Linked DNA regions of Danio rerio. The protein of the gene in region 1 purifies or fractionates together with the protein of each later gene. This does not show direct contact. Links are inferred from orthologs where the notes say so. Each region holds a gene or a part of one and is shown on either strand. Other genes may lie near its edges.

The links.
Region 2: the proteins of cdk13 (region 1) and ccnk purify together in Homo sapiens (affinity purification with mass spectrometry; 4 studies listed by BioGRID and IntAct, counting the BioPlex papers as one, with this or other methods). This does not show direct contact. The link is inferred for Danio rerio from reciprocal best matches to the Homo sapiens genes CDK13 and CCNK.

Annotation. Positions count from the first base shown.
Region 1 is NC_133199.1:1,074,388-1,090,131, forward strand, and holds the end of cdk13 (cyclin-dependent kinase 13), read right to left. Parts: intron 15,446-15,744; coding exon 15,256-15,445; intron 12,806-15,255; coding exon 12,749-12,805; intron 12,635-12,748; coding exon 12,533-12,634; intron 10,277-12,532; coding exon 10,199-10,276; intron 10,019-10,198; coding exon 9,902-10,018; intron 8,123-9,901; coding exon 7,991-8,122; intron 6,524-7,990; coding exon 6,321-6,523; intron 6,211-6,320; coding exon 5,713-6,210; intron 3,769-5,712; coding exon 3,296-3,768; 3' UTR 2,529-3,295; downstream 1-2,528. UniProt on the Homo sapiens protein: Cyclin-dependent kinase which displays CTD kinase activity and is required for RNA splicing.
Region 2 is NC_133195.1:5,236,895-5,251,805, forward strand, and holds the end of ccnk (cyclin-K), read left to right. Parts: coding exon 1-146; intron 147-1,906; coding exon 1,907-2,109; intron 2,110-3,749; coding exon 3,750-3,783; intron 3,784-3,898; coding exon 3,899-3,967; intron 3,968-5,331; coding exon 5,332-5,897; 3' UTR 5,898-6,118; coding exon of another isoform or gene 6,119-6,166; 3' UTR 6,167-6,196; exon of another isoform or gene 6,197-6,620; 3' UTR 6,621-6,933; exon of another isoform or gene 6,934-6,979; coding exon of another isoform or gene 6,980-7,094; exon of another isoform or gene 7,095-7,353; 3' UTR 7,354-9,417; coding exon of another isoform or gene 9,418-9,518; 3' UTR 9,519-10,057; downstream 10,058-14,911. UniProt on the Homo sapiens protein: Regulatory subunit of cyclin-dependent kinases that mediates activation of target kinases.

The DNA.
Region 1 (15,744 bases):
ACTCACTATTTCTCCGCCTTGGCGATGTGCTCGTGAGCTTCGCTGATTTTCTGCGCCATAATCGTTACACATAAATGATTAAATACTGTAAATAAACCTTCGTTTGTCGCTCGCACGCTGGATGTGTTGTCAGCTGACGATGATGATTGTGAGGCGAACGTTTTCTTCCGGGTTACTACGTCATCTGCGGCACGTCACTTGTTCGTCCTTTATTGGGCATAACCAAAAATAATCATCGTTTAAACTGTTTTGTAGCGTTTTTTCATCATTTATCATATCGCATTTACATAAAGACATCTCTGCGATTTTATGTCAGATACGTGTTTGTTTTATGCAATGTTTTTAAAAAGTGCGCGCAGCAACGCTTACGTTGAAACGCTTTCTGAACTTTAGGACACGTCCTCGGGGGTTATTATTATCATTTACACGACTGACGTACATTATATCACAAAACGTTCAGATTTAACTCACCGAAACAAAACGCGATGACCGCTGTTGAGAAAGGTGACGGATAACACGTGACACTTCCTATTCACCCCAACGTAGACGCTGAGCGCACCGATTAATGATGATGATGAACTTCGCTTATTTGATCACAATTAACGATTCACTAATTATAAGAATAAAAACTGACAGAAAGTTCACATCATTAAGTATTTTGCCGTCCTCTTATCTAAACGATGCACCGCAAGAAGCAGTTTTTACAATATTTTATACAAGCAACGATCATTGATCATTCACTTGCTGATTAACCCCACTAACAGCTTTTCTCTGCAAAAACGCTAACTAAACGTATTGAAATTCTTAAACATTCAAAACGATCATTTTAAACACTGCAAGTCAACGCACTGGAACACAATGCAGATCCGACACAGAGGAAATATCCAGCGAGCGGCGGCTCTGTGGGCGCAAACGCCTAGTCGATGCCAGAGGAGAATGGCCAGACCGGTTCCAGCACAGAAAGGCGACAGTGACTCAAATAAGCATTCGGTACAACCGAGCTCTGCAGAAGAGCATCTCCGAACGCGCAACACGTCCAACCTTGAGGCGGATGGGCTACAGCAGCAGAAGAGCACACGGGGTGCCGCTCCTGTCAGCTAAGAACAGGAAACTGAGGCTACAATTCACACAGACTCACCAAAACTGGACAATAGAAGATTGGAGAAACGTCGCTGCTCTGATGAGTCTCCATTTCTGCTGACGCATTCGGATGCTCGGCTCACAATTTGGCCTCGACAACATGAAAGCATGGATCATCCTGCCTCGTATCAGCGGTTCAGGCTGGTGGTGGTGGTGTAATGGTGTGGGGGAGATTTTCTTTGGGTCCATTAGTACCGATTGAGCATCAACGCCACAGCCTACCTGAGAGTTGCTGCTGACCATGTCCATCCCTTTATGAGCACAGCGTCTTCATCTTCCGATGGCTACTTCCAGCAGGATAACGCAGCATGTCGTAAAGCTCAATCATCTCAGACTGGTTTCTTGAACGTGACGATGAGTTCACTGTACTCGAACGGCCTCCACAGTCACCAGAGCTCAATCCAATAGAGCAGCTTTGGGATGTGGTGGAACGGGAGATCGGCATCATGGATGCGCAGCCGACAAATCGAGAGGGTGCTCGCTGCAGAGCCATTTGAGGAGAGGTGATCTCCAGAGAGGGGGAGCATGAGCTGTCGCTCCTCCTACTGTAAGCTGTTTTAATGCGTACACCAACCCCACCCCTAACCCTACCCCCAGTGACATCACTCGTAGAAGAAGTGCAAAAAAGGTGGAGCTCAAGCTTAAGCTCCCCCTCTCTGGAGCTCACCTCTCCTCAAATGGCTCTGCAGCGAGCACCACTTGGACAAATCTGCAGCAACTGCGTGATGCTATCATGTCAACATGGAGCAACATCTCTGAGGAACATTTCCAGTAGCTTGCTGAATCTCCGCCACCAAGGATTAAGGCGGTTCTGAAGGCAAAAGAGGGTACGAATAAAGGTGTACCTAATAAAGCGGCCGGTTACTGTTTTCATCACATGCATATCGTCTACATCAGCGGTTCTCAAACTTTTTTCATCAAGTACCACCTCAGGAAAAATTTGTCTCTCCAAGTACCGCCGAAATGAGCAGTATCGAAACACAGTAGCGCAGTAGGCCCAGTAAAGCAGCTACAACTCTGGACAGTTAAAAAATCATGGCAGATCACCTCAGAAATATAGGCTATATGTCATATATGGCATATTATATACATCATTTTTGGTAAACTTTGAAATGTGTGTAGCATGTACGTGACATATTTCATTCCTTCTCGTACCACTAGAAGGAAACCTGCGTACCACAGTTTGAAAACAACTGGTCTACATGCTTTAACAAAACACACGCACACACACACGCAAACGCAGTGTATTTTACATACATGGCGCACGCACACATCATGCAAATGCTATTAGTATGACTGAGATGCGTTGGGGATACGCTAATCTGAATGCGGTTAATCATGACCCATTAAATGCGAACGCTTGCAAAAAATAAAAACACAGGCACGTCTTCCGTTGTTGGCATTTCTTTAATAAACGTCTGCCAAAGAGGGGGACAAAACATCTTCATACAAAACAAAAAAAAAAAAGAAAGCATCGTCGCTCGTCTCCTCGAGAGAAAAAAAACAAACAAAAAACAGGTCAAACGTCTCTTTAACTATCGATTTTACAATGGCTATAGACAAGAGCTGGTGACGAAACGCAGCGCCGATCCGTTCAGTAGATTCACCAGATCGCACAAGTGCTGCCGGTCTCCCCGGACCCCTCGAAACCTTCGGGCGGAGCCCGGAGCGGTCAAAAATCATCAAGAAAAGAAAAAGAAACCGACCCAAAATAAAACGCCTCACGTCGCCGCTCGTCACGCGCGCAGATGCGGCACAGCGCTCCGCTCGCGTCCGCCTACTTTGTTCAGTAGTGCAAAACATCGTAATACTGGAGGTCCGTCCTTCCGTCCGTCCGTCCTCGCGCAGCTGCTAAAAACACTTACCGCGCGGCGAACGCACGCCCCCGAAACAAAGAAAGGTCTGGTTTTAATTTAAAAGACAGCAGCGGAATACAGATTACCAAACCAAATCCGTCCGGAGAAACCGAACGGATCTACGAAACGGCGCGAGCGGGAAATCCCAAAAAAAAGTTCCCATCGCCGCGTCCGTCCCTCCGGTTTTACAAACGTTACAAACGGGTTTAGTGCTGGTTTCGGGGCGACCGCGCGCCTCTTTCGGAGTCTTTCTTTTCTCCGAGGCGTTCGGGGTCGGTCGGTTCTCTCTCCGCGGGGCATCAAAAAGGCAGTCCTCGACCCCGCAGCGCCGCCGCGTACCCCAGCGATTGGGACGGGGAAGTCCAGGGCTGTCCCGGCGGGGGCGGCGGCGGCCCGTGATTGTACTCGAACCGATGGTCCTGATCTCCGCTGAACACCATGCCATGATCTCCGCGAGCGAAGGCTTCCGGGCCCAGCGGCGCGTGCGGAGGCAGGCCGGCCCCCATCATGCGGCCGAGGTAGCTGTCCGAGAAGCCCGCGTGCGGGAACGGCGGCGGGGGCCGGCCGAAATCTCCCCCGTATCCCGATCCGTCCGGAGGATAGTCCGGCTCCGGGGGTCGAGGAGGTTCCGCCGGTCGGCTCTCGGGGGCGTGCCGGTAGTCCAGGTCGGCGCAGGGCGGAGGTTCCGGGGGTTCCGGGGGTCTCTGGTCCGGCGGGAGAATGGAGAGAGAGTCCAGAGTCCCGGAGGACGGGACGCCGCCGCCTTCCGCATCTGCAACGAAAAACACACGAGGGTGAGAGACGAAAATCACCTACGGCGACACAGAGCTAACGACCGCATCCGCGACGCCCCGCTGTCGAACGCTAGCCTAGAGCGGCGGCGGCGGGGGTCGCTTGGCGATTTCCAAAAATCTGATTCGTTTCGCCCAAATTACCACAACGAGCGCGAGAAAAAAATGCCGCAAGAGAAAAAAATGCCGTTCTGTGGTCGCGGCGCGCATTTTCCGCCGTCGCGTTGCGACCTCCGGGGTGTCGTCACGTCGAACCCGGGCCGGACGATCGAGCTCTCGCTGGGCTTTCCGGAAACGGGCGCGTCCAGCGAAGCTGGAGCCGAAATCTGCGGGACGCCGGCCCTCCGGGACCGAGTTCGGACGCCCCCGCGTTAAAGACGCAGCGGCGGGGTTGGACGCGGAAGATCCGTTTCGCGGCACCGGGGTTAACTTTCCGATGCCTTTGCGGCACTCGGGTACGACGAAACGGAACGCAGGCCGCGACCGAACGTAGCGGATGATCTCCGGCGTTCCCCCAAATTAAACGAACGACGGACTCGGCGCGCGTGAACCGTTTCGCGAGCTTCGCACCTGTACGACCACCTCGGAGGAACACGGAGGGTCGCGAATTGCCGGCGTCGTTTTTTCGGGGGTCGCGGACCGAAAACTTCGGAAACCTTCGGCCTAGAGCGCCGTCTGCTGTTAAACGATAGCCCGCGGTAAACGATTCGTCTGTCGTTCGAGCATTTTCACGAATGCCGTTTTATAGTTCGTAGCGTTATTCCAATCGGGAACGCGGATCGCGTGCAGATAAATCCTTCACCCGTAAAGGACGTCGAGACGGATCCGTTTGTCCATCGTTTATTTTAATAAACGGCCTTACGAAGATACCGCTAACCGGCGCAGCCAGTCTCTCTCCTGCTCTCGGTAACGCAAACGCGTGAATAAATGCGTATAAACGCATGCGCGTTAACTGTCGTTTTCACGATCGAGTTATTTTCCGTCTTTTTTTTCTTCGTCTGAACGCGTTTGACCTCGTCGTAACCGTGATATTTACACTCCTCCGTAAAACGTAATGCATACGTGACCGCACGGGCCGCTTTTCGCTGTACTCCGTGACAAAAAAGGAACGTCGAACGTTGCTCCGCGTCCACGATGGAACTCGCAGGCGTTCGATAGACTCGTTCCTGAGCGATACGCTTATTTAAGCGTGTCTGACGATAACACTACGCAGGCAGATTTATACGCGGTTTTAAAACTTTCGGAACGACCGTAAAGCGAAACGGACGCGTTTCCCGCGAAGCTGGAGCCGAAATCTGCGGGACGCCGGCCCTCCGGGACCGAGTTTTCGCGCATTTGTTTGTTCGTGATATATAGCGTGGATTATAATATAATAAACAGAGAGATAAACTCTTTGTCACGGACGTTATTTCTACAAATAAGTTCGAAAAGTCGTCTGCGGCAGGGCGACGCTGACGTCACAGACGAGCGCCCCGAGGGCTCCGTAGTCCGTTTGTGGCCTAACGCTAGCTTTTCGATTCTTGCGTTCGCATTCAAGATCCAAAAGCGCTCCAACTCGTATTATCGTGCCAGGGTTAGGAGTGTGACGAACGGCGTTCGAACGCGGAGCTTGTTATTCGCGATCTTCGAAAAGCCTAAGGGAATATCCTACAGGGGTTTTCACGACAGAACCGGTTTCATGCCAGCGGCCGATTAGCTTACAAAGCGACGTCGTAGTTCCTCCGCTCCGTCGACAACCTCACGCGGAACCGAATCTGCGTCTCGCGTCTTGCATTTGGCTTCGCCGTTGCTTTTCGAATAAACGAGAACGTTCGCCGAGCGCGCTTCTGAAATATCTGCGCGCGAGTCGTGGAGTGTCCGAAACTCATACGGCGCCTTTAAATGTTCGCACAATCTTTTAAAGGACTCCTGCCGTGCGATCTTACCCGGAGACACGGGGCTGGGCTCCGGCGGCTGTCTGATCTCCGGCGGCGCCGGAGCCGTATTGGGGACTCCTCCGTCCGCTCCGTCGAAGCCCGTCCCGTCCCCCGGCGCCCCCTGCTGGACGTTCAGCAGCTGAGCCAGCAGCATGGTGACGGCGGTCTGCGTGGCGGAGGCCGAGCTCTCTCCGTCGGCCTGCTGCGGGCCGGGCGGAGACGGAGGTTTGGGCATGGGCGGAGTGCGGGGCGCTCCGGGCCCCGACGCGGCCGCCGGGAGGGCTTTAGAGGTTTTGGGGAGCGCGGGCGGCTCCGGGGGACGCTCGGACTCCGGCAGGCCGCACGGCAGGGCTTTGCTCAGCTGCTGCAGCGTCTCAGGGTTCATCTTGGAGCTCACGGTCTGCATGAACTGAGCGGATCCCCCCGCCGCAGAGCTCTTGGACTGCAGCAGATTCAGCAACACCGCCAGCTGATCCTGAGTCAGCTGAGAGTTGGCCGATTTGGGGTCTGTGGGAAAGAGACGGAGATTTGGAAGCAATTTATTCACGTTCGTTCAAATTCGCAAAGCGATCGAATCAGGTGCGCGTGTGCATCTGCGCATGCGCGCGCTCACTCACCCAGTAGGCCCGCAGCGTTTGCGCTGCCCTGCGGTTTGTGTCCTCCCGCGGCGGTGCCGAATCCCTGCGGTGTGTTGCTGCGGCTGTCGTCCAGACCCAGCTCTTTGCGAGGGGCTTTAGGGGCCGTCAGCTCCTCCGGCATCTGTTTCTGCCGCCGCCGCTTCTTACTCCACAGCTCGTGACAGTCCTGCCACAGGGGGAGGCTGAACAAACGCAGACACAGAGACACACACACACAGGGTAAAGATCTGCTCACAGCAACACGCATAACTGTGTTAGCCTCAGCATTAACGCACAGGATCGTTCTGCTCATTAGAAGTGCACGCGCTGATGTGACGACACTCGCTTGAAACGCTCGAGCTCGTTAAAACAGGATGGATTCTGATTGGCCGTCCGTTTTGTTTGTTTTTAGGAGGAAAAATAGGTAAAAAGGTTACAGTAGCACTTCAGCAGATATATCGGTGTAGCTGCGGCTGGGCTGTGCGTCGCTTTATCGTTATAGCCGTCATCCTTGACGTAGACGGCTTTAAGAGATGAATCGATATAATCGGAAAAATGAAAAGCCTGGACTAAAAGATTTTAATGAAATACACAACATTTATTCGTCGTTTTATTTATTTCATATTATCCAAATTATATTTTCTTTACTTAAAATGACACATTTGGATGAATTTTGTGAAACGTTTAGTGAAAAAAATGCCAGGACATCTTTCGCAATGTACTTATTTTTAAATAAATAAATAATAAAGTTTAAGTTTAAATAAATTAACCTACTTTTTCAGGAAAACTTTCTGTAATTTGTTTTTTTTCAGATGAATTGTTTGTTTTGTTTCTTGTTTGTCAGGCCGAAGCCTGCTCTATACTTCCGCGTGGAGCGATCGGCGTGACCCACGGTGCAAGTCTTGCGTGTACTCGTGCGTTTATACTTCCGTGCGCTGCTTGTGTTGCTCTGCAATAACGCTTCCAAAACACTTGATGGCAGTAGGCTTTTATGTTTGTCCGTGTCGAGTTTCACTGCGGGTGTTTTGTTAACGTACGAGTAGCTGAAACTCCCTTAAACCGGCAGATGTGCGACAACTTTAATAGTAAGGTAAACGCGAAACAAAAGTTTCCATCCGGAGCTCCTTCGCGGGAGTCGACACTTGTCCGCGATCCCTCCATCGGGCTCACTGCTCTCAGCATCGGCCACACTCGTCACAGCTACCAAACAGACCGATCGCAGAGCTTGTGCTAGGTGCAGTTGCGGTTACATTTTTTAAAAGGTGTGCGTCAGCGGCGAGGGCTATCGGACCACACGAAGGCTTCGCCGGACCATATGCGTGCGCTTGACGCAGAAGTATAAATCTGCCCTGACGCTTGTAGAAACTCTCAAAAATATATGGAATTTTTATGATAAATATGACTTTGTTTTACTCATCTAAAACATGAATAAACGCTGATGATAAAATCATTTTAATGCATGTGTGTGTTTTCAGGACTACTCGTTCAAAAAAAATACTTATCCAAATGTAATGCCCAAGTCCAATAAATAAATAAATAAAATATAATAATCATAATAATAAAAATATTAATAACTGCAAAACAAAATATTATTCTGGCAAAAAAAAAGAACAACAAACAAAGTAGAAGTACAGGATTAAAGTCGACAGTTTAAAGCTAATCTCTCATACTCGGGTGGAGGCATCTTGGCGGGATCCACGTCTCGGAGGAAGTCGCTGTTCAGGGCCTGTTCTGCAGTGCAGCGTTTGCTGGGGTCCAGAGCCAGCATGTGATCGAACAAATCCAGAGCCATCAGGGGAATACTGAAACAGACAAACCAACGATATTACTTTCAAGACTTTTTAAAGCTGCTGTCTGTAGAGTGTGTGTGAGTTTGAGCTGAGAACAGCACACAGATGACGTTCTCCAGCTCTCTGAAACTGACCCTTTTAGGCTTTGATCCCGATTGTGGTGTTTTGGTGACCGTCGCTTTAAATTCAAATGAGATTGTGCTCTTTTCAGAAGAGGGCGGAGCTACAAATGCCTGCGTGTCAGTATAGTGGCAGATACAAAACAGCACTAGCTGCGTTGTCAGTGCTGCTCGGGTCTGCATGTTGTCGTTGGTCAGTGTGCGCTTCATGCCTCTGTCAGTCTATGCCGCTCCTGTCGCTGTTCATCTAAAACTCCACATCTATAATCCTCCTAGTCTCAGAGTTCTTACACCTTTTCCAACTTCAAATTCCAGCACTTTCCAAGCACTTTCAAGGTGCATTTGTATGCATTTCCAGCACCTAACAACCACGGTTAATCATGTTCATGTATGTTGTATGTACTCATTCACATTTAAATCCATTGTGCTATTTTTAAAAACACAATACGACATTTACACTTAAATTGTTGAACACTTTGGAGCGTAGATTTATTGGGACGGTTCAATAAATAAATCAAAAAAGTACAGTTATTGGATGAAGTAGGTTTTTCAGTTTGGTCTCTTTCTACCTAAAGTTGATATCTCGAGAAATGAGCTCACAGTCAGATTTTGATTGGGTGTAGAACCAAACTTTCGTGACCAGTCATTCATGATATTTCAAGTGCATTGCTTTTTTTTTTTTTTTTACAGTCATTGAATTGGCGTTTCAGATGCAAAGTTGCACTCTGGGCGAATGTTTCCTAAATAAGTATGAAGCTAATAATGCCAAAACAATCTAAATTTGAATAGTTTGAATTCTTAAAAACTTAAAACTGTATTTTTTACATACCCAATATCTGCAGTCTTTGAATTCAGAACCAAAAAATCTAAAGTGTTAAAATATGTCTATAAAAATCTGACTTAAATTTTTTTTTAAATTTTGGATGTTCAATAATCGAGTAAAGAAATTTAAATTCGGTTTAACATTTTTAATAGCATGTGATCACATTTTTTAGCTTACAATTATCATTAATTAAATTTAACACAATTCAAATTCAGATTGTTTTGGCATAATATTAGCTCCATAAAAGCAAGCATGCGGTGAACATTTTGCAATAAAAACTAGTCGCGCAAAAACAATTTAAGCCCTCGCACACATGCTCCCAAACATATTCAGAGGTCACAGATGAAATTTTGCGCACATGCAACCGAAACAGTCAAATTTGAGCCCAGCAATTTCAAATTCAAGCAGATTGTCCAAAATCCAAGCACTTTTCTAACATTGAAAACACTGTATTAAAAATCAAGCGTTTTCCAGGATTTCCAGCACCAGTAACAACCCTGTAGTCTATGCTGACGTCATCTTCAGCAGCTCAAACACTCTCATGGCTAATGCACAGACGGCTGCTTCTCACTGAGGGGCTGCTGTTTATGCTAATGAGGGAGAGATGGCCACTAGTGGGCGGGGCTTACCCCCTCTCATAACAAGGGAGAATGTCAATCAAAATGTTTCTGCAGACTGTTTGTTTACCATTACGGTTTGTAGAAACGCACACACTGCTGACACACAACTGGTTCCAAACCCCTTTTAAAAGCTTTTTTTTTCCTGCATATTAGCTCTCCATAAAATACTGAACATGACCTGCACTTTAAAAACAGACTGAACTTGTGAGATTCCTCTCTGATTACTCACAAAGCGAACTCCTCCCGCAGCCGCCGCCGGTACTGTTTCTTTGGTTTCATGGTGTTGAAGTAGGGCAGTTTGATGACGTCCGGCCACACGGCAGGGCAGGGGCTGCCGCAGATACGACTGCACAACACACAAGATTATTGATTTGTTGGTTATTACTGTATTACTTCTATTTCATGGCAAGATCCCTATATAATCAATAAAACAGTTAACATTACAATAATAACATCGACTTCATGCATTAGCAAGACACTTTTCTACATTTACACTTAACTTACAGTAGAAGAAACGTGCTGTTACCTTATGAGCTCCAGCTGCGCTAGCTCCTGATTGGCCTGGAAGATGGGCTTCTTTGTGAAAAGCTCTCCCAGAATGCACCTGCGTGACGTGAACGGTTCATAAACATTAGGTGAAAATGGGAGCGATGCAGAGCTAGAGTTTCACAGCCGACGATAAACATTCGGTGAAAGCTTAACGTATTTCAGTTCCACAAGGTTGTTTTCACAGCATCGATGCTGTAATGTAATTACAATACATTCGGTTAAATGGATTCGTTTAGTTGTTCAATCGTAAAACGAGATGAACGACAGTTGTAACCGCTAGCGCCGTCACCGGCAACAGGCGAGCGCAGAAATTCCATTGAAAACACTGGGGTAAAATAACCGGCCACGTATTAAAGACACCGCAGGGGGAAACGGAGTTTAACGCAGTGCTGATCCGAGACCCACTTCATATCGTATATCTAACAGGCAGTGAGGAAAGAAATCAGATCTTAAACGTGATATTTTGCGATAGAAAGACGGTTCACCGAAAGCCTGCGGGTTGCCTGGCTGCAAATGAAAAGTCTGTTTGCATGTTGCGCATTAAGTTGTCCTTACAAAACAAGAACTACGTCGTTTTGGCTTATTTTAAATAAGCAGTTTGAATAAGCAGCAAAAATCTTGTTTTATCCGTGATCCATGATGACGATCGTGCTGCAAACATCGATTTGAAGCAGAAACAGTATTTGAAGAAACATCAAGACTGCTTCAATAAGAAAGAACTACAATCCTACGCCATCAACACTTGGCGAATGACAATCTTATTAAAAATCTATCAAAACAAAGCTATTAATTAAAAAAACTGATCAATAAAATTACATTAAGCGTATAAACGTATCTTACATACAGCATTTCATTTGTTGTTAAATTTGTTGTTATACTAGCAGTTATTAATATATTATTTCTTACGTTTAACCACGGGCATCGTGTTATGTGAAAATTAATTAAGAATACAAAACTATATAAAATCAGATTAATAAATAGTAATGACACGCGTATAAACGTGCTGGCGTTTCTGGCGTCTGCTGAGATATAATAGCATTAATAATAATTTCTTACATTATGTTATACATTATATGTAGTGTATTATGGACGCTCAAAGTGTTTTCACACAAGAGGGGGGGGGGGGGGGGGGATCCTCATCCACCACCAGTGTGCAGAATCCACCTGGATGATGCGACGGCAGCCATTTACACCGCAGACCAGCTGATTGGTGGAGAGGAAACAGAGTGATGAAGCCACTTATGATATGGGGAGGGTTAGGAGGCCTTGATGGACAGAGCCCAGTGGGCAGATTTGGCCAGGATGCCGATGTTAAACCCCTACTCTATTTTTGAAGGACATCCTGGGATTTTTAACGACCACAGAGAGTCGGGACCTCGGTTTAACATCTTATCTAAAAGACGGCGCTCACTGACAGTATAGAGTCCCCTTCACTATACTGGGGCATTAGGACCCACACGGACAGCAGGTTGGGCGCCCCTGCCGCCCTCACTAACACCACTTCCAACAGCAACCCAGCTTTCCCATGTGGTCTCCCATCCAGTCACTGACCGGGCCCAGCCCTGCTTAGCTTCAGTTGGCGACCATGTGAGAGTTGCAGAGAGCGAGCTGCCGGCGCTAAAATATACATTTTGCGCAACAATATACATGTTGATGTCAGAATTACTGTTTATTTTTCCCCCTAATTTCTGTTTAACGGAGAGCAGATTTCTTCAGCACATTTCTAATCATAACAGTGTTAATAACTCATCTCTAATAACTGATTTATTTTCTCTTTGTCATGATGACAGCACATAATATTAGGCTAGATATTCTTCAAGACACTTCTATACAGCTTAAAGTCACATGTAAAGGCTTCACTAGGGTAATTAGGGTAACTAGGCAGGTTAGAGTAATTAGGCAAGATACTGTATAACGATGGTTTGTTCTGGAGACCATCGGAAAAGAAATATGTAGCTTACAGGGGCTAATAATTTGACCTTAAAATGGTGTTTAAAAAATTAATAACTGCTTTCATTCTAGCCGAAATAAAACAAATAAGACTTTCTCCAGAAGAACAAATATTATCAGACACACTGCGAACATTTCCTTGCTCTGTTAAACATAATTTGGGAAATATTTATAAAAAGAGAAAAATTAATCAAAAAAATCAAAAGGGGGCGAATAATTCTGACTTCAACTGTACATGTTGAACTGTGTGTTCATGAGGTGCGTGTATACACAAGTTGGGGTTTACTGGGGTACATGCTGAGCTGTATGTTTATTAGGTGTGTGTGTGTCTATACATAAGATTTTGTTAGTAGCATCTCACCCGCAGCTCCAGACGTCGATGGCCGGTGTGTATCGCTCTTCTCCCAGCAGCAGCTCTGGTGGCCGGTACCACAGTGTGATCACCTTATTGGTGTAGGGTCGACTGGAGAACAGCACACACACACACACACACACACACACACACACACACACAATCATAAGTCTGATCTGCTTGATTTACACTCCTCGCGTCTGAAAAATGTCTGGAGTTACGTACCTCTCCTCAGAGTTATACAGGCGAGCCAGTCCAAAGTCTGCCAGCTTGATCTGACCCCTACAATACAACACATATTTACATGTTAATTACATGGCAGATTCGACAGACACATCTCTCGGTCTTCCTTTCTATGAGGTAACTTTTTACAGTGGAATATATATTAATATTGTTATTAATATTAATCGTTTAATATTAATATCTTTACAATTAATATTGTTTTATTTACATTTAGTGCATTTCATTTTAATGCATTGAAAGGAAAATTTCACAATTCTGGACACACTTGGCTAAAACACAAAATGATTGGTAATAAATATTTATTATACATGTATTGTTATATTTATTTTGTTAAAAAATTTTTATTCATCTATTAAAAAAAAAAAAAAAGCCAATAAAATAACCACATTTGTGACCCGGACCACAAAAACATTGATTATTCTGGTAATAAACAAAAATACAATGTATGCTTTTTTATTTAGTGCCAAAAATATTTATAATATTAAGTTAAAAAATTCATATTCTGTTAAGATATTCAGCAGACTGCCTACTGTAAATCCAGCAAAACTCAAATTTTGATTAGTGACATGCATCAGGGCTGCACCATACTGGAAAAATCCAGCATTGCAATATTTTGCCATACAAATTGCGATATGAGATGACTTAATATTTCTATTTGGAAAGAATTTAAAATATTACATCAATCTCCGTAGAATCTAATAAACAATCTATAAATTACCCCGACACCTTTTTCGTTGCAGTGCATTGCTGTATTTCCATGTGTTCTGCGTATTTCCATTAGTCCTTGATTGATGAATTGATGTTTACTATTCGCATCTCCATAAAAACTAATAAACAATCTAGAAACTGTTTAGGGTCACATTTTCGTTGTGGTCTGTACGATTCGCAGTGCATTTCTGTATTTGCATGTGTTGTGAGTATTTTCCTATCTATAAATACAATCAAGACAAAGATACAACAATAGAAAAATAACCGTATTTAAGTACAGTGACTGAATGATAAGAATAATTTTATAAAATCAGTCTTGGGCAGCATGGTAGCGCAGTGGGTGGCACAATCACCTCACAGCAAGAAGGTCGCTGGTTCGACCCATGGCTGGGTCAGTTGGTGTTTCTGTGTGGAGTTTGCATGTTCTCCCTGTGTTGGTGTGGGTTTCCTCCAGGTGCTCCGGTTTCCCCAACAGTCCGAACACATGCGCTATAGGGGAATTGGGTAGGCTAAATTGTGCGTAGTGTATGTGTGAAAGAGTGTGTATGGGTGTTGTCTGGAAGGGCATCCGCTGCATAAAACATATGATCAAACTTTTAAGCTAGAGCTCGGCCTGAATGAATCGATCGCCAGTAGTATCTTGTCAAATCCCACAGTCAACAAAAATCTGAGGTAAACATTCAATAAACCAGAACAAGACAGCCTGACTTCTGTTGTGTATGTGTGTGTGTGTGTGTGTAGTTCTTGACAATAGCAACCCAATGTTCTGAGAATATTCATCAAGCTTACTTTAAAGGTGCTTTGAAGTGCTTTTGAAATGTGCATTTAATATTCAACGTTTCACGTAATCTCAAAAGCGAGAGGGCGGGACATAGAGCAACCCCTCCTCTTTTAAAAAAGCAGCCAATAGCGTTCCGATTAATTACTTAGAGTGGCTGAGCTCAAACGCATCGAATGACGAGCAAATGACAAGCGTCTTGAAGGGAGCGGTGCATGTCAGACACTAGAGAGCATTTGATGGGTCAAAAGATTTGATGGGGTGACGTGAGAAAAAAACCTTGATCCATTTTGGATGACAAACTGCAAGCTTTACATGTCGATATCAGTTTTATATGTTCTTAACGTGAATTTTGTCGTTGTCTTGTATCACGCTAGCTTATAGATAATCCTGAAGACTAACATGCTGATACTGACTTATAAAAAAACTGTCAATCTGACTGGTTTGTTGATTGACAGGAGGCGTGGCTATGCAGAACCACGGTGTGTGATGTAAGCTCAGATAGTAAGCCTTTCTCTCACTCTTCTCTCCATCTAACGCTTTCTCTAAATTAGGGTTGGGCGATGTCGATCAATTTGGCATCATACGATGTCTAATGTGAAACATCGCAATGGATGATGGTATGGTCATCATGTGTAAAGGGTGTTTGATAGAGCGCGCGCCACGTGTCTGAAGAGCGAGGAGGGATCCGGGGGTGAGAAGGGTGCGAGACTTGTTTGAGGACTGGGAGGGAGACGCGCGATTTCTGGGAGATTATCGCTCGTTTGCGGGCATTATAAGTCCCGCAAACGCATTTTAACACTAGGCTGTATCAGTGTAAACAAGGCCTCAGTGTGTATTTTTCACGAGCGGGTTTGCGACGGGGGCGGGGCGGAAGATCGGCGATTCCAGCTCAGCATCGCGTTGTCTATTGGCCATCGGCGTCGGACGATGGCATCGTTTATCGGCCCAAACCTACTCTAAATAAATAATGAGATTGTGTTTGGTGTGATCAACCCCTTACTTGTTGTTGAGCAGGATGTTGGAGCACTTGATGTCTCTGTGCAGGAAGTTCTTCTTGTGGCAGTAGTCCAGGCCCTCCAGCAGCTGCCGCATGAAGGACTTGATGTGGCTCTCGTTGAAGTGCACCAGGCCCGACTCCAGCAGGCCCATCAGGTCGTGGTCCATGTACTCGAACACCAGGTAAAACGCGCCTGACAGACCGAAACACAACCAAAACACAGGGCGTTTATCAGTACATCAGCATAGTGCAGTGAGGAAAAATAGAAAGATTGAAAGAGTTCAGTGCTTTTCACATCACAAAAACTGAAGCAGAAATAATGTCGTCACTTTAGGCTTGAATGTTACCAATAAACACTGGAGGCACTGATTAATTATTAATTACTTCATGACTAATTGCATCGTTAACATTGTGTCAAACTACTTTCATAATTTCTGTTCACGGTAAAAGTTGAGTTTACTTGACTCACTTAAAATCCCTACACATTTCAAA
Region 2 (14,911 bases), on another chromosome or scaffold:
GTGGGAGCCAGAGATCATAGCAGTGGCGGTGATGTACCTTGCTGGCCGGCTTTGCAAGTTTGACATTCAGGAGTGGACTTCTAAGCAGTCGTCTCGCCGCTGGTGGGAGCAGTTTGTCCAGGATGTTCCAGTGGAGTTGCTGGAAGGTAAGAGACTGCATCATGTGTTTGACACGGCATGCGTTTTTAAAAGGCTACACAATAAAAAGTTTCAGACATCAGCTTGCACATCATAAGGTATAATACCATACAGTAGGATACAATCCATAGCTTTAAAATCTACCATATAGAGCAGGGGTGTCCAAACTAGGGCTGTTTCTCAATTCCAAGTACGCAGAGAACGGACTTTCGTTCTTGTGGAGCCCGGTTGTGTCCTCGGAAGAACGAACTCGGGAGACCGCGTGGACAGAGAACGTGTCCTGTGAGAAATGAGATGCTGCGTTCTTCTTGATGGTCACATGACCTTCACTTGTTTTAAATGGTAAATTATTTCAACATTACAGCCTTCATACAGGGATTTATTGTTTTTCCCCGTCTTCAAAATATATACTATGCATGAAAACGTTATAAATATACTCAGCACAATATAAATAAACAGATTTTAATATGAATTTCAGCAAACAAACACCCTTAATGTGTTTATTCCACTTAAGATGTTCATGGTTTTGTTTACTTTCACCGTTTTATTTAGGGAAACTCCTGAGGTAAATCAGTGATATCTCTGAACTTTAATAATAAATCTAGATAAAATGCTGCGCTTCCCACCTCCAGTCGCAATGACTTCTGGGACTTCCAGAGTGAGTTCGGTGCTTAAAGGCTGATTTATACTTCTGCGTCAAAAGCACGCTTATGCTACGGCGTTGACACATAGCTCCGCCGCGTGCACCCCGACAGAAACCCACCCCGCGCCGAGCTGCCAACCCGAAGCTCTGCCGCATGCACCCCGACAGAAAGCTGCGCCGAGCCGCTGACCCGAAGCTCCGCCACGTGCACCCCGACAGAAACCCACACCCAGAACTCCGAAATGCACGGCGCCGCGCAAAAGGTACAAGCAATAAATCCGATTACAGCAATTAATGTGGAGAATATTGAACTTGTGTTGAGCCCAATGAGCCTTTTATCATAAAATAGAGCACGGGTGTTCCTTTAGTGATATTGCTTTGACTCACATGCTGAAAATGGCATACGTGCAACAAGAAACTGAGGATATTATCGTGACGCAAGGCTGTCAATCAATATTGGTGGGCGGGGGGACCGCACTCCTACGTAAAGTTGTGGTCGGTCTGAAAATCGCTCCAATTGGTCCACTGTTTTTATGTTGTTAAATTGAAAAAAAAAAGAACTGTGTGCGTTTATATCACCCCAATATGACGGTCTGTACACTATACTTGCACACATGTCTGTCCAAACAGCTTGAAAAGTAGATTTTTCACCATAGGTGCACTTTAAAATGTTCTGTTTAAGTGTAAAGAAACTACTTTTTTTAACCACGACTTTTTCAAGCCACGGTAACCCTTGAGACCGGTTAACATCTCATACCTAACAGTATTTTTAAACGGTTTTATTCAAGACCATGTAACCTCTTTGCACCACTCACCAACGTCAGCTCTAAAGCTGTGGACCAATCAGAAGAACTCAGAGACAGGGCCAGAGTTAAGCCTCTGTTTACAGTAACATGTTGGCATGACGAGGTTTTATTTGAAGGCAACATGGTGGAGATGTTTGTTTTTTAAAACCGTTCTGCAATGTCATTACTTTCCAATACTATGCAGCAATACCTTCAAACACCCTACATTTCTAAACTCAGAAGTTTGATGAAATCTCAAGTCTTGATTCCTTAAGATTTATTGTGACTTATTTCACTGCTTACCTTCTGTATCTTATGGTATTGCTCTTGTGGTTCACAGATATCTGCCACCAGATTCTGGATTTGTACTCTCAGGGTAAGCAGCCGATCCCCCAGCAGCCTCCGATGCAGGACAAAGAGAAACCGCCACCCCCTCCCGCTGCTCCTCCCGGCCAATCAGGGGCGCAGAACCCACCCGCTCAACCTCCCTCCAAGAAGAACTCCCCCCAGGCCAGCCCGCCCGCCAAGATTAAACGCCAACATGTAAGTAAAGCATTTACTATGGGCTACGATACACAGTTAAACCAAAAATCATTCAGACGCCATCAACATTTCTCACATCATCACAGTATATTTACTATAGTTTAGTTTATAGTTTTTTGCTTCACTGTTAAAAACAAACAAGCAAGCTGCTTCTTTAAGCCTAGTTCACACTAGAGGATTTTAAGCCTGATTTGAGCCTGATTTGGAAGTAAACTAGCTCGCCGACAGATCGGGCTGTGATCGGGAAGAAATCTGCGGGTGCTCGGCGCTCGCCACTCTTTATGTGTGAACTACTGAACAACGCATCAACGGGGCTCGTTAACGCGTCGCCGACACCTCGCAGACGGAAATCCAACATTTAGCATGCTCAATATTCCAGACCAGTCGGCCGACTCAACCCCACGTGTGGTCAGATGTAGTGACGAGCTGCAGCCAATGAGAGAGCATATCAGCATGAGCTGAATGCCTGTGTGTTCAGGAGCTCAGCAGAAACATCTGTGATTGGTCAGAATGGGCATCAGTGCACTCGCTTCATTCTGCGTTAGCACAGACACGAGAGTAGGCTATATTAACAGTGGAACTAGAATTCTGTAACTATTAGAATTACCATACTGCTCATTCTGACCGTCCTCATATAAAACACCATATTGCCACAACATATTTACATTCAAAGCTATTATTGAGATATTAAAATTAAGCTTTGAATGTCTGGCATCATATTTAATGACACCATTACCCTAAAAATATAATCTTTTTTTTGGAAATACAGCCTATAAATATGTAGTTAAGATACTAGAACACTTAAAGGTCTTGGCTTTCATTTTCACTTTCAAACAGGAGCTATTTAACGGTACAGAATATGCTGTTTTGAAAGATATCTGGAGTAAATTGATGTTTTTGCCATCAGAAAGTTTTGTTTATGTTAGCAGGAAGTTGCCAGGCAAGAAAATGCACACATATTTAAAGTCACAGCGAAAAGTATCAGACATGCATGCAGTCATTTTGACCAATATGGTAATTTAAGGCAGAAATGCTCAGTTCTTTACTGTTTTGTAAAAAAAAAAAAAAAAACAATGTCAGAAAGAAATACACTGATAGTTAGAAAACAGCAGGGTGTTATAGATATGTTAGTTTTATTTCAAATAGTTATAAAATTACAAAAAATTAAAAACTCTGTGTATCTATCCACTGGAACCTGCAGATGAGTGATTAATCCGCTGATAAATCAGCTGATTTGACGATGTTTTTAAATGCTTTCTCCAAAGCTTGAAACGCTGTCAGTGTTGTCATCAGCACACAAGCAGCCAATAGTGCTCAGCTTTTTCTGACGACTCCTCCCTCAAAATTTCATTGGCTGTGGTTTGGTAGCTTGAATGAGCTGATGGGGAATGAGTTGTTGTCAGATCATGTAGTGTGTGACCCCCTCTTGTGGATCATTCACGTAGTGTCGCGTAGTGTGAACACCACAGAGATTAAAAAACACAAAGTCAAGTCATGTAGTGTGAACGGCACAGCGATCTGCTGATGTTTGAAATCCTGTAGTGTGAACTAGGCTTAAGAAGAAAATGAAAGGATTGGTTAGATAGCTTCTGTATGCGTTAGGTAATCTAAAACTCCTATCTTTTTGTGTTGTTTTGTAGGTCTCTCCTAAAGATGAACCTAAAGCTCCAGCAGGTAAATAATTTTGCTTGCAAAGGACATTTTATAGTTTCACGAGAACCAAGGTCTATTGTGGGATTATGAGTTTCCTATTGTATTAAGTGTAAATTACTCTCTGTCACTGTTTCAGAGCAAGTCGGCTCTAAGATACCACGTCTGGAGAGTCCCATGCCACCTCTTCCTGTTTCTCAACCCCCTGGTGAGACTTGCTTTGTTTTAAAAGAAGCAGCACAATAAATCTTCGCACAGAACTCCGCAGATTTTTAGCCCATCATTAATTGTTTTTTGACTTGATTAAATGTGTGTAAATCTATTTATTCAGTTTTTTTTTTTTATTTATTTCGGTAAAATTATTGACTAATGTAAAAATGTTCATCTGATTTATGTACAATGCAGTTTGTACAGTAATATTTTCTGTCTTTTAGTAGAGATATTATATGAGAGACTTGCTTTGTTTGGCAAATAAAGTCAATCTAATTGGATTTGCATTGTAAACATTAAATAAAAGTTTAAAAGGGATTACTTTTTATTTCACATATTGAGGTTTTAGTTGTGACACTCCCAAAATAATTCCGCAGAAATCCACAGACTGTTACCAAAATTCTCCGCAGAAATAGCAAAAAACATCTGCAGATTCCGTCTGGCCCTGCTCATCACACACAATAAGTAATGTTTAAAAAATAAAGGAAAAGAAAAGACGGAACTTTAAAAATGTACATTCATTGCCGAGCGAGACACATGCTTTCTGTTTATTCTAGAATGCGCATGCTCAGAGTGCGCGAATGGTCACGTGATATACGTTTTTGGTGGCGTAGTGTGGATATGTTCGGAAACGCTAGTGTGGACGCGGATGATTTTTGATCTAAAACGCCATTTTAAAACTAAAACGCGCTAGTGTAAACGAGGCCTTAATCTATTTTTGTAATTTTATGCAAAGATGATGTAACACATACATAAATAAGTAGAAACAGGGGCGGACTGGGACAAAAATTCAGCCCTGGCACTAGTTGCCACACCAGCCCACATTACCACACGATACAGACCCACCCACGGACATGCATATTCACTATTTATTTTAGTGTAAAGATGGTGAAATAATATGACATTCTTGCCAAATTTTGATTATGTCCGGGTAACCTTGGATTGGGTCTTGAAACCAGACGGCAGTTGCCGATTGGGCCGAATGCTTAACATTTATTATTATTATTATTATTTTTATCATCATCATCATCATGATATCATATCTAGCAAGAGATAAAAGCTGTCTGCACATAAAAAAATACATATTAAAAAAAAAACTGACCGGCCCACATTTAAAAATTGGTCCGGCCCTTCTGGCATTTGCCAAAATTGCCAGATGGCCAGTCCGCCCCTGAGTAGAAATGTTCACTCGTTTATTTAAAAATTTAAATAATAAAAGCCTTTAAGGATTCAAGATGCTGATGACCATTAAAGACATCATATCAATCTTGTAAAAAAGATCCATAGGCATTTTTCGATTCGTGCAGTTTAAAATGTAATGAACGCAACCACTAATAATGCCTCTGACATCTTACTACACAGAACGCAAGACTCCATCTGCCATCCCAGCACCTCCTGCAGAAGCCGAGCCAGCTGCGGCATCAGAACTGGACCCAGCACAAGGACCTGCTCCTCCTCTGCCACACGGAGCCCCTCCCCCTCTGCCACACCGCCCACCGCCGCCTCCACCCTCCAGCTACATCATGGGCATGTCCACGTCCAGTTCCTACATGTCTGGGGAGGGGTTTCAGAGTCTGCAGTCTATGATGAAGACCGAAGGGCCCTCCTACGCGCCCATGCCCCCTTCGTACAGGATGGCCTATCACCCACATGTCTATGCGCACACAAACCCTCCCCCTCCAGGTCCTCCGCCTCCAGCCTCTTACCCTCCTCCCAATCTGCCCCCACCCACTCCAGCTTACCCTCCTCCAGGGTACAACCCTAGCTACCCGCCTCCGCCGCCACACATGCCACCAGGGCACAACGTACCCCCTCCGGGAATGGGTTTACCGCCTGCTGGGTACCCTCCTCCTCCTGTTCCACCAGGCCAGCCTCAGCTGCCGCCCCACGCCATCACAGGAATGAACAGAGGGGCATGGATGAGATGAGATGAGAAGATGAGACGCGTGCCTGTATACAATACACAGAGCTCACATCTAAAAACCAACTGATATGTTTTAAAACAGGGGTGTCCAAACTCAGTCCTGGAGGGCCGGTGTCCTGCGGATTTTTGCTCTTCACACCTGCAAGGATGCTTCTAGAAAGCCTAGTAAGAGCTTGATTAGCTAGCCCAAGTGTGTCTGATTGGGGTTGGAACTAAACTTTGCAGGACACTGGCCCTCCAGGACCGAGTTTGGACATGCCTGTTCTAAAATGAGCATTTTTATTCTCATCCTCTCGTCTGTAGGTTCAGTAATTTCACTTTCATGGCAGTTAAGAGTTCCCTTTTATTGTGTTTAAAGTGAAATAAGTGAAGATAAACAGAGGAAGCTGACAAAAATGCTCATTTTAGATGGCAACTAGAGGTTTTTGCTTTGGAACTCTACACCATTAGGTTTCTATGTATTTTGATGCAGGTTTATTGGAAAGTGTAGACCAGGGGTGTCCAAACTCGGTCCTGGAGGGCCGGTGTCCTGCTTATTTTAGTTCCAGTTCCAATTAAACACACCTGAACCAGCTAATCAAGCTCTTTCTAGGTATACTAGAAACTTCTAAGGAGGTGTGTTGAAGGAAGTTGGAGCTAAACTATGCAGGACACCGGCACTACAGGACCGAGTTTGGACATGCCTGTTCTAAAATGAGCATTTTTATTCTCATCCTCTCGTCTGTAGGTTCAGTAATTTCACTTTCATGGCAGTTAAGAGTTCCCTTTTATTGTGTTTAAAGTGAAATAAGTGAAAATAAACAGAGGAAGCTGACAAAAGTGCTCACTTTAGATGGCAACTAGAGGTTTTTTGCTTCTGAACTCTACACCGTCAGGTTTCTATGTATTCTGATGCAGGTTTATTGGAAAGTGTAGACCAGGGGTGTCCAAATTCTGTCCTGTAGGGCCGGTGTCCTGCTTATTTTAGTTCCAGTTCCAATTAAACACACCTGAACCAGCTAATCAAGCTCTTTCTAGGTATACTAGAAACTTCTAAGGAGGTGTGTTGAAGGAAGTTGGAGCTAAACTATGACACCGGCACTACAGGACCGAGTTTGGACATGCCTGTTCTAAAATGAGCATTTTTATTCTCATCCTCTCGTCTGAAGGTTCAGTAATTTCACTTTCATGGCAGTTAAGAGTTCCCTTTTATTGCGTTTAAAGTTAAATTAGCGAAGATAAACAGAGGAAGCTGACAAAAGTGCTCACTTTAGATGGCAACTAGAGGTTTTTGCTTCTGAACTCTACACCATTAGGTTTCTATGTATTTTGATGCAGGTTTATTGGAAAGTGTAGACCAGGGCTGTCCAAACTCGGTCCTGGAGGGCCGGTGTCCTGCTTATTTTAGTTCCAACCCCAATTAAACACACCTGAACTAGCTAATCAAGCTCTTTCTAGGTATACTAGAAACTTCCAAGGAGGTGTGTTGAAGGAAGTTGGAGCTAAACTATGCAGGACACCGGCACAACAGGACCGAGTTTGGACATGCCTGTTCTAAAATGAGCATTTTTATTCTCATCCTCTCGTCTGAAGGTTCAGTAATTTCACTTTCATGGCAGTTAAGAGTTCCCTTTTATTGCGTTTAAAGTTAAATTAGCGAAGATAAACAGAGGAAGCTGACAAAAGTGCTCACTTTAGATGGCAACTAGAGGTTTTTGCTTCTGAACTCTACACCATTAGGTTTCTATGTATTTTGATGCAGGTTTATTGGAAAGTGTAGACCAGGGGTGTCCAAACTCGGTCCTGGAGGGCCGGTGTCCTGCTTATTTTAGTTCCAACCCCAATTAAACACACCTGAACTAGCTAATCAAGCTCTTTCTAGGTATACTAGAAACTTCCAAGGAGGTGTGTTGAAGGAAGTTGGAGCTAAACTATGCAGGACACTGGCACAACAGGACCGAGTTTGGACATGCCTGTTCTAAAATGAGCATTTTTATTTTCATCCTCTCTTCTGTAGGTTCAGTAATTTCACTTTCATGGCAGTTAAGAGTTCCCTTTTATTGCGTTTAAAGTGAAATTAGTGAAAATAAACAGAGGAAGCTGACAAAAGTGCTCACTTTAGATGGCAACTAGAGGTTTTTGCTTCTGAACTCTACACCGTCAGGTTTCTATGTATTTTGATGCAGGTTTTATAGGAAGGTGTAGACCAGGGGTGTACAAACTCGATCCTGGAGGGCCGGTGTCCTGCTTATTTTAGTTCCAATTTCAATTAAACACATCTGAACCAGCTAATCAAGCTCTTTATAAGTATACTAGAAACTTCCAAGGAGGTGTGTTGAAGGAAGTTGGAGCTAAACTATGACACCGGCACTACAGGACCGAGTTTGACACCCCTGCTTGAATTGGAGTGTCAGGAAGTCTATGAAATACCACAGGCTTCCACTTGGGTTCAGGGTTTCACCGTTCTGTAGACTTCATCTCTACTTACTTGATTTAAAAGGATAACCCTGCTGATAAAAACAGCTTAAACCAGCCTAGGCTGGTTGGCTGCTTTTAGCTGGTCGACCAGGCTGGTTTTAGAGGGGTTTTGGTCATTTCCAGGCTGGTTTCCAGCCATTTCCAGCCTGGTCTTAGCTGGTCAGGCTGGGACCAGCTTGACCAGCTTAGCCAGGCTGGGTGCCCAGCCAAAACCAGCCATGTCCAGCTTAATCCAGGCTGGTCAAGCTGGTTTTAGCTGGTTTTAGCTGGATTTAGCTGGGCATTTTTCTAGCCTGACCAGCTAAGACCAGGCTGGAAATGGCCAAAACCCCTCTAAAACCAGCCAACCAGCCTAGGCTGGTTTAAGCTGGATTTTTCAGCAGGGAATTCATCGCTAAAACAAAAAGCTGTCGTGTTCATCTACTCATCCTCCTGCTAAAGGGAAGGTTCATCCATGAATGTTGAGCACAAAGGAAGATATCTTGAAGGTCGTTGGAAACTCCAGGGCATTTTCTTCTTACTATGGATGTCATTGTGGGTTTTGGTTTTCAACATTCTTCAAAATATCTGTTTTCTATATTTGAAAAAACATTTTTAGGACGGCAACAAAAAAAGTCATAGCAGTTTGGAGCCACATAAGGGGTGATTCATTTAATTTTATGGGTGAACTATCCCATAAGGTCTAACAACAGTACAGACCATGTGGATCTAATTGAGGATGTTTTCAGTGTTAAATGCTCTCACACTAGGATGTTTTTGTGATTATAGTGCACAAGTAGATGTATAAATTGGTCTGACAGGAGGTAAAGATTCAGGTCTTTACATTTCTAAGGCTTGAATAATGACAGCATCTGCAGCTTTTTTTAATATAATTGTCACTATTTACTCTCAAGTGTTTCCAAACCTCTATGACAGGGGTGCCCAAACTCAGTCCTTGAGGGCCGGTGTCCTGCATAGTTTAGCTCACACTTCCTCCAACACACCTGCCTGGAGATCTAGTACACCTAGAAAGAGCTTGATTAGCTGCCTCGGGTGTGTTTAATTGGGGTTGGAACTAAAATATGCAGGACACCGGCCCTCCAGGACTGAGTTTGGAGGCCCCTGCTCTGATTTTCTTTCTTCTGTTAAACACAAAAGAAGATATTTAGATGATGATAGAAACCTGTAATCATTGACTTCCATAGTATGTATTTCTCCTACCTATTTAAGTCAATGGTTAGCAGTTGAGTGAAGGGTGAGTAAATGACAGACGTTTTCAGTTTTGGGTGAACTATCCCTTTAAATCCATTCTTATCACCACTTACATTCCAAATACCTTTCTATGAACGAATTATGAATTCTTCATTGTACATATGGGTTATTCTGTATTATCTTTAGAGTGTGTTGCTTTTTTTTGTTTGTTATTTTCCCAGTGTTGTGTTCCTCTGGCTTACTTTTTAGTTAGTTTGTTGCAGACTTCTTCTTATTTCCTTAGCAAGATCGGGAAACCGTCCCACAAATCTTCCTTAGCAGTAGGTAATTCTGATGCCTTTCTGGCATCTTTGACTGACCTGAGATCAGGTGCATTTATTGGGTATGTTGGTTTCATAGTTTCCCGAATGTGCCTTAGTTTGGTTTATAGTTGATCGAGGGACTCTCTGTGCTCAACTAGCTTGTGTTTACCCGTTGATTCTTTTAGGCAGATAATAAAAACTGCGCATTTGCTGATTTGTGCCTTGTGTTGTGTGTTACAACTTTGGAATCCATTCAGCCGGTATCCAAGTCTGGCAGGAGCACGTTTAGCTTAGCTTAGCATAATTGAATCAGTTTTTATCATTAGCGTCTTGCTAATTTTCTGTCAGTCTTAGTATGTTTAGTTCCAACCCTGCTGAAAAATCCAGCTTAAACCAGCCTAGGCTGGTTGGCTGGTTTTAGCTGGTCGACCAGGCTGGTTTTAGAGGGGTTTTGGCCATTTCCAGGCTGGTTTCCAGCCATTTCCAGCCTGGTCTTAGTTGGTCAGGCTGGAAAATTACCAGCCAAATCCAGCTAAAACCAGCTTGACCAGCTTGGTTTAAGCTGGACATAGCTGGTTTTGGCTGGACTCCCAGCTTGGCTAGGCTGGTCAAGCTGGTTTTAGCTGGTCATCTCCCAGCCTGACCAGCTAAGACCAGGCTGGAAATGGCTGGAAACCAGCCTGGAAGTGGCCAAAACCCCTCTAAAACCAGCCTGGTCGACCAGCTAAAACCAGCCAACCAGCCTAGGCTGGTTTAAGCTGTTTTTTTCAGCAGGGAACCCCAATCAGATACACCAGGGCTAGCTAATCAAGCTCTTACTAGACTTTCTAGATACATCTTTACAGGTGTTTTAAGACAAGATGTAGCTAAAATCTGCGGGATACTGGCCCTCCAGGACCGAGTTTGGACACCCCTGGCCTAGTAGGAGCTAGATTAGCTAGCCCAGGTATCTAAGTCTGGCAGGAGCATATTTAGCCTAGCTTAGCATCATTGAATCAGATTTTATCATTAGCATCTTGCTAATTTTCTGACAGTCTTAGTATGTGATGTTACTACAGAAGAGTTGAGCTTTAATTAAGAAAATAATTTAATTTTTGGTTGTCAACTGTCTAATCCAGGCATGTCCAAACTCGGTCCTGGAGGGCCGGTTTCCTGCAAAGTTTAGTTCCAACCCCAATCAGACACTCCTGGGCTAGCTAATCAAGCTCTTACTAGGCTTTCTAGAAACATCTATACAGGTGTGTTTAGACAAGATGAAGCTAAAATCTGCAGGACACTGGCCCTCCACGACCGAGTTGGGAAACCCCTGGCCTAGTAAGAGCTTGATTAGCTAGCCCAGGTATGTCCTGATTTGCAGCCCCGTGCAGAGACTATCCAAGGGATGGTTGTCGCAAACAGAAGAGCGGGGGCACTTCAGATTATTTTGGAAGGGGACTTTCTGCTGATTGGGGTTGGAAATAAACTTTGCAGGACATTGGCCCTCCAGGACCGTGTTTGGACATGCCTGGTCTAATCAAATTCAATGATCTATGCTAGGACGAAGCAGTGGCTCAGTAGGTAGTGCTGTCGCCTCACAGCAAGAAGGTCGCTGGTTCAAGCCTCGGCTCAGTTGGCGTTTCTGTGTGGAGTTTGCATGTTCTCCCTGCACCTCTCTGGGTGCTCCGGTTTCCCCCACAGTCCAAAGACATGTGGTACAGGTGAATTGGGTAGGCTAAATTGTCTGTAGTGAATGAATGTGTGTGTGGATGTTTCCCAGAGATGGGTTGCGGCTGGAAGGGCATCTGCTGCATAAAAACCTGTTGGATAAGTTGGCGGTTCATTCCGCTATGGCGACCCTGGATTAATAAAGAGACTAAGCTGACAAGAAAATGAATGAATGATAAATGAATGATCTATGCTAAGCTAAGCTAAGCTAAAAGATGTCTTGATGATGTCTCTGGGGGCCCCCTAAATGTATGGGCCCTTAGAATCGTCCTAACTTCACCAGCCGACCACCTGTATTAAATTTGGTAGTTCATTCCGACAAGGTAACCGCATTCATTTTGTCTGGGCCAAAGGAAGACCACCAGTCTGCCTAAAGTGGCCCATATTCGTATGCTATCCGGGTATGCTCCTTGTTGGGGAATCGATGGAGAAGAACCATTGTCAGATTTAATTAAATAAAGTTTACTGAGGATAGTTTGCATTGTCATCAGCAGAAGCCAGCCTCAACACTCGCACAGAGTTCATAGGCCTCTCTGCTTACAATCTCAAATCAGCAATAATTATACTTTAACAAGCGTCACCAACTGCGTCAGACATGCAGGTGTTTTAATCTGATAGGTATTATAAAACGTGATAGACTTCCATGAATTGTGTGTGTGTGTGCGTACAAGCCTGAAAAATATCTCCAATGATTACTCGGGCATCAAGCATACAAAGGTCAGAAATAACAGGAGAATATTTCTGTGGTCAGGATGGTCGGAACGCTTTATGTTTCCGACAATGAAGAGCACAGACACATACATAAAGAATACTTATCTACTTCAAGTCTGTCCTTCTCTCTAGCAGGCATCTTATCAGGATAATAAAACAAAGATATCAGGCTAATACTGGGACAGCTACTGAGTCAAGTATTCATTGTTTCACCCAGTAAAATTGGCATCTAGTCACAGCTGTTCATGTGGAACCGAATGGCCTCAGTGACCTCTCAGATGGGCCTGGAGATCCCGAGGAAACAAATCATTTTGTCTTACAGTAAAGAGCAGTGACACACATATCATTACAGTTTTACTCTGAAAGGGGATGACACTACCCACATAGCAAAATATCTCTGGCCCACTCAATCAGCTTTTGCTTGGCCCACATGCCACAGTGAATTGACTGGATCAAGTCTGGCTTCCAGACAAGAGCTAAACTTGGACCATATCTGGGCCAAGTCTCAGCCAAGTTAATAACCAATAACTGAGCCTGAGTGGCGAGGCAGTGGCGCAGTAGGTAGTGCTGTCGCCTCACAGCAAGAAGGTCGCTGGTTCGAACCTCGGCTCGGAGTTTGCATGTTCTCCCTGCCTTCGCATGGGTTTCCTCTGCGTGCTCCGGTTTCCCACACAGTCCAAAGACATGTGGTACAGGTGAATTGGGTAGGGTAAATTGTCTGTAGTGTATGAGTGTGTGTGTGTGAATGTGTCTGTAGATGTTTCCCAGAGATGGGTTGCGGCTGGAAGGGCAAAAATTTGCTGGATAAGTTGGCGGTTCAATCCGCTGTGGCGACCCCGGATTAATAAAGGGACTAAGCCGACAAGAAAATGAATGAATGAACTGAGCCTGAACTGGGCCAGATATGTTGGTGCGTCACGCCCAAATAACAATCGGACTTGGCCCAAATGTGGCCTCATTATGGCACTGCTGTCGTGTTGCCGGCACTGGCATGCATAATGTCAGCCGAATGCAATGGCAATGATGGCACTGTATGCATGATGGCAAACTACATTTGGGCCAGTTGTGAATGGAAGGTGTGTGGCCCAGATCAGGCTGGGTTATGGCTCAGTTTTTGGAGTTTCTGGTTAAAGTATAAACTTATAGCTGAGAATCAGGACCAATAATAAACCTGTTTTGGCCCAGTTCAGGGCCAGTTAAGGGTGTTAAATTGGCTGAGATTTAGGCCGGTGATGGCCCATGTGTGGGCCTTGTGTTTAATCCAGTTATGGGCCACTTCAGGACCGCCATACTTGGGCCAAAGGAAAAGATATTGTGTGGCCCGGAGCTGGGCCAGAAAACATTTGCTCTGTGGGGACTGCAATGAAATTGATAAACCCATAAGCATTTCACTTTAGGCAGCTATGGGCATGCTTTTTCTCGAAGCGACCTGATTGGTAGAATTTATTTATTTATTTTAAAATGATAAAAATTTATTTTAAATTGGGATCAAGACCAAAAACTTACAGGGCCCACATATCAATTATTACATCTGGGCCAAATACTACATTTTACATCTGGCCCAAGTATTGTGTCCCACCTTAAAGATAAGCTCTGCCAAATCAGGGCCATGTTTGGCCCACATGCTGCGCGCCAGTGCCAGCTGAATGCCTGCTGTGCCAGATTTATGCCAAATCTGGGCTAGAATTCTTTGCTACTAGGGTAGTGTATCCTAAAGCCTGGAGTAAAAATGAAATGCTTGACAAAGATCTTATCACAGATAATTTTATGCATCAATTGGTCAAAATTCTGAGAGATTATTATTGGTGTGCACTACTGACAGAACTGACACACTCACACTGAGACCTTTAAAATAATACCCAACATGACTTCATTCATTAATTTGACAGATATACATATCACCTGCGAGACTTGAAATGCAGGAACTCTTAGGTCACCTTTTAATGACCCAGGCCATGTTTTGAGCAGGGTTAAGTGGAGATAACCCAGATAGCATACGAATGTGGGCCACTTTAGGCAGTTATGCTGAAGGTGGTCTTCCTTCAGCCCAGACAAAATGAATGTGAGCCTGAAGTGGCCCTTCTGTACAATGGTAAAGGGGGGCCCAAAGACTCAACTTCATTTATGGGCAATTTCAGGCAAAGATTTGGCACTTATAGCAAAATGTAATCTGAATGTGAGCCCAATGTGCCCCATGTGGAAAATTATAAATTTGACCCAAATGATGGAGGACAAATGTGGGCCACAGCTGCCAAAAATGTGGCATAGTCATTTAAGGGTAATGTGGGTCTAAACCTAAAGTGGCTCACACGTTTAGGTGCAAATGTTGCCTGGTTATCTTAAGACATATATGGGCGACTTTTGGTGCAGCAAGCTCTGGCTATTGTCTGTGAGCCTAATGTGGCCCAGAGAAAATATGGCAAATGCGGCACAGTTTTTTAAAACATATATGGGTGAATATTTGACAGCAATAGAAGTAATAGGCCAGATCTGGGCCAGAATAAAAGCAAACTGTGGCCCAGAATAGGGTCAGTTCTCGTTCATTTGGTTGAATTCTGGCTAATACGCTGTATTGTTTTGGCTTATTTGTGGGAGCGGACCGCGCTAGAGCCATCATTCCATTCAGTATGTGGTCCAGATTTAAGTGTCTGTT